Linked DNA regions of Oryza sativa Japonica Group. Each later gene encodes a partner of the first gene's protein in a complex. Links are inferred from orthologs where the notes say so. Each region holds a gene or a part of one and is shown in the gene's direction. Other genes may lie near its edges. The genes, in order: structural maintenance of chromosomes protein 4 and condensin complex subunit 2.

Region 1 (4,395 bases):
CAAAACTTTATCACGTTTTCTTACAGAGTGAAAAAAAAAATTAGAGGGGGCTCCCATACTCCCAACATCAGTAGTCTGGGCTTCAAGCCCCTCCACCCCCATGACAAATCCATCCTGATGGCTGGGTGATTGTGAGATAAATGATTCAGATCATCCAAAGTTCCAAACAGTGTTGGTGTTTACACTTTTGATATTGTAGGACCATTCTATGTATTACTAGCTTGTAAAGACGTTATTAAAGCCATTCTATGTATTATCTGTCTGCCTGGGCCGAACAGCCCATGCGCATCTCAACCAAAAAGAGAAGGAAAAAGTTCACTTGGTCACTCATCTTACCGTTAGGTTTCAAAATCGCCCATAAACTGGAATACCAATTATAATGTATCCCTAATATTTTAAAACCGGGTTACAATGGGTCTCATTGTCTCAAGACAATATTTAGAGCGGTTTGCTGACGTGGCGACTGAGTCAGTGTTGAACCCACATGTCATAAAAAAAATAATCACCGTCCCTCTCTTCCCTCCGCTCCTAATGTGATTCCATCACCGCAGTGCCCACGTCCGGGCCAGCCTCCGCCTCCGTGCCCACTGCCACAGCACTTGTCTCTACCTCCGCACCCACTATCTCTCATCTCGATGTCGCTCTAGTTCTGCGACGACGATGACTCGGGCGACGTCGACCTTGAGCCACTTTCCTGCTGCAATGTCACACCCCAAGCCGGAAGAGCCATTTGAGGTAGGGCTGCTGTCTCCAGCTACAATGGTGCTTCCCTGGTAGTGAGGTGGGATAACTTCTCTGAAGTCTTGCATACCTGGGCTCGGGTGAGGCCGCAGGTGTCGACGAGGTACTCCTTGACGGCGAATGGTTTGAGTGAGACGCGCGCAGTGGTGAGGGGAGACGATGGAGGGAGAAGGGCCGAAAAATTTCGACGAGAGGGAGAGGGGACACCCACCGTAGTAGTAGAGAAAGGATGTGTCTCCAGAGGTGAATTGTGGTGGCAGCGGTGCAAGGATCATAGCCGCGTGAAATCACAAGGCGTTGTGGTGTCAGTGGTAGGGAGCTCGCCGACGCATCAAGCCACCTCCGCACTGAGCTCCTTGCAGCCCCGTCAACTCACCGCACCTCTCCTGTTCGGCCATCGCCCACCACCAACCTCATGGAGGCTAGGAGAGAGATGTGAAAAGAGGCGGAGAGAGGTAGAAGAAGATTGGGCCACTGGCATGTGGGTTCCGTGCTGACTCAGCCGCCACATCAACTAAAATCATTATCAATACTGGCTTGGGACTTAATATGCCTCAGTTTTATAATATTAGGGATGTGCTATATCTGGTTTTCCAATTCATGGACAATTTCAAAACTCGATGACAAGAAGAGGAACCTGAAGTGAACTTTCTCCGAAGCAGAAGGCCGACCAGAAATCAGCCCAACATGAGCCCCATATAAGTTCGCACACGAAAGCAGCGCATCGCTCGTAATCCAGCCCAACTCCAGAGTCTTCCTTTTGGTCTGACACATTTGCTCGAAGCGGGAGGAAGAAAATCCTCTCGCCGTTTCAGTTTTCCCTCCCAAATTTTCGCCCAAAATTCCCAAATCCCACATTCCCCTCTCGGCCGCTTCGACTTTTCCCCAAAATCCCCCCACCGCCACCGCCTCCGCCTCCACCGCCGACGGCCCGAGATCTGCGCGCCTCCACCGCCGCGGCCTTCGTCGGGCCCGGAGCACCCGCGCCGCCCGGTCGCCGTCGCTCGGAGTTGCGCGCGCGCGGTCGCCGTCGTCCCGAGTTGCGCACCGCTTGGTCGCCTTTGTCCTCGAGCCGCCCCCCTTCAGCCGGTGCCGCCCTTGCTGGGCGAGTGATCTTCCGGCGGGCGGGCGGCGGCGGCGGCGGCTCTCGCGGTCCGGTCCTCCCTTGCTGCTGCGGTCAGGCATGGAGAGTTCCCCGCCGAGGTCACCCGCGCCCTCGCCAGGGAGGGCGGGGAGGCCGCGGCTGTTCATAAAGGAGATGGTCCTCCGCAACTTCAAGTCGTACGCAGGGGAGCAGCGCATCGGCCCTTTCCACAAGGTCTCGTTCTCTCTCTCACTCGCAAGCACACGACACGAGCGCGCAAGCTAGCTACAGTATATCTTAATTCGTCGCGCTCATAGTCATAGATGACGTATTCCCCCACTACCAATCCCCGGTTTTCGTTTGTTTTTGGCGCTATTCAGGACCCTCCAGCTGCAATGTCATGTGGTGGGCTTGCTTTTTTTACTTGACCTGTACGATCGTTGAACCCTAGGCACGGCAGTTGGATATAGCAATTTAACTTCAATTGTGATAGCGTAGGAGGTGACCACGTATACTTTCATTTGAGTTTTCCATTTCCCAGTGCCTACAGAATCCTAAATAAGTTAAAAACCGTGTTATAGCATTTTTAGGAATTCGTGTTATCTTCAGTGTGGCCGTTCTGCCTGGCCTCTAGTTTATGAAGTGAAATACCGATACGCGCATTGTTACTAGGTTCTGAACCTATGTGACGTTTTGTTTATTAGGTTCTGAATTTGTTGGTCTAGTTTTGGTCTCACGAATGTTAGATTAGAGTGGAGGTTTTTGAGTTGTGCACTGGTTTTACATTTGTTCTGAAACTTTAGAGTGGCATGGTCATACTCCATCAGTAGTATGTTTTGGGTTCACTTTGTTTTGTTTGGAGATATTTTATTATGAAGAGTAAGTCACATGGTTTAATGGCATTTGTTCTACCCAGAAATGGAGGTTCCTTATTCAGTTCTATGGCTTCTATCTGAATTTGCCCTTTCATACGTTGAAATTTCAGACCTAACTCTTTTATCCTCAGAATGTCGTTTCTGCAGTTTAACTTTCACTTGTTCTGTAGTACCTAAGATATAAGGAAAGCAACGTTTATCATAATTTTAAATTTTACTGATTTTCAAGTGCATCAATTTAAGTGGCCAAATGACTATGATTTGTGAGTAGTAACACATCTTACATTCCAGAAATGCCGTCTAACTTTATAATCGTGTTTTTATGGTGACCTGTGCAGAATTCACAATTCTTGTGTGTGTAACCATCGTGTTCTGTGCAGAATATCATTATAAACTGTTTATAGGTACTATCGATGAGTGCACTATGCTTCAAGCTCTTATGAACATAGGTCTACCACTCTGTCGCTAGGATCCATGCATCGTATAAAAGAATAACCGCTTTTTCTTGCTTTCAGAGTTTCTCAGCTGTTGTTGGGCCAAATGGCAGCGGGAAAAGCAATGTCATTGATGCGATGCTGTTTGTGTTTGGGAAGCGTGCAAAACAGGTGGGCAATATTGCTTCCTAACTGTAAATGTTTATTGATGTTCAACATTTTTCTGGTCAGCTCAGTGGCAGATTTAAGCTAATCATTGATTTATTCTATCTCAAAAAGTCATTGTATTTTTTTATCCATTCAGCGAGTGCTAGATGCCAAAGTTGGCATGTAAGTGTAAGTTATTCCCAATGTTTTTAAAGGCTGGGCAACAAACTGCTACTTTATGTTTGTTAGTGTGTTACTGATTTTGTATGCAAGGCGAAAAGTAAGCTTCAAAGTCTCTGCCCAAAGGTTTTTGAGAATTTAGTGTAATGGTACTTTCATGATAGTAAACTAGTTATTGAAGAGAAATGTATTTAATACTTGAATACAATGGGGCCCTTGTATTTCCTGTTTACTATTGCCCATTTCCTCCAAAGGTTTTTCCTTAAAAGTTTTGGATTAAATGCTATAAAATTCACGAATAACTTAAGCTCTTGAGAGATGATCTTGCTATTTGTTAGCTACTCCATATTTTCTTAATTCAGAACAACCTATTTAGGTTGTTTCAAATCATAGACTGTTTCTGACCAGTTTTCCATCATTGTAGATGCGCCTGAACAAGGTCTCAGAACTCATACACAATTCTTCTAACCACCAGAATCTAGACAGTGCTGGGGTCTCCGTCCATTTTCAAGAAATCATTGATTTGGTATTTCTTGAGCCAAGTATTTAGCATTTCATATTGCTTAGCTAGTGCCACATAATTTATTTCCCTCCCTCTATGTCCATCATAGGATGATGGGAACTACAGGGCTGTTGAGGGCAGTGATTTTATCATCACAAGAGTTGCTTTCCGTGACAACACTTCTAAATACTACATAAACGACCGTGGAAGCAATTTCACTGAAGTAACTAAACTGTTGAAGGGCAAAGGAGTTGACCTTGATAATAATCGCTTTTTGATCCTTCAGGTTTGTGTTTCTTTTTCCATTTACACATGAAAAATGCGCGTGTTTTGTAAGTTTAATTTTGGACATATGTTGCATATTATTTAGTATGTTTACATGACTATGAGGGATATAACAGACATCCATATGGTGTTATATTTTATGGTTTT
Region 2 (2,511 bases), on another chromosome or scaffold:
TTTGGCATGGGATTCTCTGCAAAAACAAATGCCTGGGCAGGACCTGAGCATTGGAAATATCGAAAAGCTAAAGGTACTATGGGTACATAGTCCTGTTTTAGTTTTGTTTCAGGCAGGCTTGTTTAATCTAACCTTTGGGCTTACATTCAACTAGATTTGGACCCTGTCCCAACTAAACCTGATGATTCAGACGCCCCAAAAAAGACAAAGAAGAAAAGAGGCAAGGATGAACCTGACATTGATTTCAGCAAAGCATTGGAACATGATATGCCAAATATCTTTGCACCTCCTAAGAATTCAAAATCATTGCTGCTGCCGGCAAATAGGGCTACCAGCAATAACAAACTTCCAGAGGATTGCCATTATAGACCTGAAAGCCTTGTTAAATTATTCCTTCTTCCGGATGTTTTGGTAATGGCAATTTCTTATAATTTTTTTCTTGATATGGATCTGGGGTGGTTATAGTAACTATGGATCTTTTTGTAGTGTCTGGCTCGGAGAAGGAAAAAACCACTTGGTAAGTTTTCTATGTTCTTGCATTGTGTATTTCACATGAAGTTTTCTTGTTGCCTTGTTATTATATCTTGAAGTCCTGTTGTAAATTCTGAAGGTTCTTAAATTATTTATCACATCTTCCCTGTTCATATTACCTGTGTTACTTTCCTCCAGCTCCTTTTGGTATTTGATATATGGGTTAATTGGATTCATGCCATTGCAAATTTACCGTATTAGAAAAATACCACTACTATTCGTGATATCGGCTGAGTGCCATTATAATTTTGTAAAATTAGATCTATGCCATCACCGTTATATTTTCTGTCAGACTCTCCTTCCTTTCTTCTCCTCTCCTTTTTCTTCCTCTTCTTCCTCTACCTGCTCCTTCTTCTCCCTTCCACTGCTATTTCTGCCACTGCTCCTGCTCCTGCCCAGGACGTGGACAGCGACCACCACCAGCAGCAGCTCATCTTCCCCATCTCTCTCCACTGCTATTGCTACTGCTGCTGCTCCTCCCCAAGAGGCCAAGGCATGAGCGGTGACCACCACCAGCCGATATGACGAATAATAGTGGCATTTTTCTAATACAACAAATTTGTAATGGCATGGATCCAATTAACCCTTGATATATTGGTAAGTTCATATTGCTACTTAAATACTTAAACGAAACAATCTGTGAATCGTATGATGTTAGAGTATTATTATCTGAAACTGTGGAATGCAAATAAGTATAAAGTTCAGGACTGGGTTTATTTATAGAGAATGCTCTGCACAACTCCAAGAAAGGTGGTAATGTGATACTTATGTTGGCTATTAGGTAGCAAATTGACTTTCCCTTTTCAGAGAAGAACTTTACTATTCTCATACTAGATTATGTCTGTTTGCTAATGTGTGGCAAGTTGATGTATGTATGGACAGCCTTTGTTCTTGTTAATGCCTTTCTATTTATATAGAATTGTTTTCCTACATTTGTTAACCACAGAACACCTTTGTTCTCTAGTAGGTGGTTCAAGGGAGAATACTGATGACTTCATCCCATCTGAACCTTGGGATGGTGATGATTTTTGTAATGATCATGTCGATGAAGGAAATGGTGATACCGATGTAGAGGATGCAGTAGATCTTATTACCAAACCAAGACAGGTGCGCTCCTTTTTTCTTTTGCCTTCCCTTGTTAGACATTTTGGTTTTGTGTGCTTATATTGGAGTCTGGTTCTGTATTGATATTTCGATGGGCGCTCGTACAAAGTTGCAATTGACACCATTTGAAATACTAAAGCTGGTTAGATCTGAATGTAGTAACTAAAAAGCACTATAACATCAGAATAACTTTACACAAAAGAAATTGTGTAAACAGAATGCAGAGATAATAGCTACCTTTCTAGTTTTCTAGTTCTTGAACTAGACAGGTAGCTATATTTTGGGATGGAGGGAGTAATTAATTCAAGCTTTAACATTATGTATATTGATGTCTGTCCCATAAACTTTAATTTGTGGCCTCCTAGAAAGCAGAATCACATGCCCATCAATATATGTTAAATTTATGCCAAGTCAGTGCAGATTTAACTCTTATACTTTGGGTACTGAACAGTCCCTAGAGTTCTGTTATATTTTCTGTACGACAAATGGTGTTTTGACTCCCCTCCAAAAAAAAGGAGGGCGTTTTGACTTTTTGCAAATGTATAGGGTTTACATGCCTGATCTGGCTTGACATGAGTTGGCTGTTCGTAGTGGTGGACATCTATGCTGCTGATTTTTATGGCACAATAAATGTATCCAAACAAACGATAAAAGTGTATCTTGCAAATTTATTATGCATTTACACCTTACCTATACTCAGGAGCTTCTATTCTTGTGAGCTTAGAATTGCTGACCTTTCGACAGAGTGCTCTGCCAGAGGACTTACATGAAAAAACTAGTGATCTGAATAAATTATTGTAATGTGTTTGAGTTTTTAAGATGACCTTGTTTTTTTTTTAATGTTACTAACTTACTTGGCCTGGTAAAGTCTGAATT

Evidence for each region.
Region 2: structural maintenance of chromosomes protein 4 (region 1) and condensin complex subunit 2 share a complex: the UniProt entries of both Arabidopsis thaliana proteins name them as parts of the condensin complex. The link is inferred for Oryza sativa Japonica Group from reciprocal best matches to the Arabidopsis thaliana genes SMC3 and EMB2795.

What each region holds. Positions count from the first base shown.
Region 1 is NC_089039.1:24,530,062-24,534,456, forward strand, and holds the start of structural maintenance of chromosomes protein 4, read left to right. Parts: upstream 1-1,588; 5' UTR 1,589-1,924; coding exon 1,925-2,059; intron 2,060-3,215; coding exon 3,216-3,305; intron 3,306-3,885; coding exon 3,886-3,987; intron 3,988-4,072; coding exon 4,073-4,249; intron 4,250-4,395. UniProt on the Arabidopsis thaliana protein: Central component of the condensin complex, a complex required for conversion of interphase chromatin into mitotic-like condense chromosomes.
Region 2 is NC_089035.1:19,821,130-19,823,640, forward strand, and holds part of condensin complex subunit 2, read left to right. Parts: coding exon 1-73; intron 74-154; coding exon 155-411; intron 412-486; coding exon 487-517; intron 518-1,495; coding exon 1,496-1,638; intron 1,639-2,511. UniProt on the Arabidopsis thaliana protein: Regulatory subunit of the condensin complex, a complex required for conversion of interphase chromatin into mitotic-like condense chromosomes.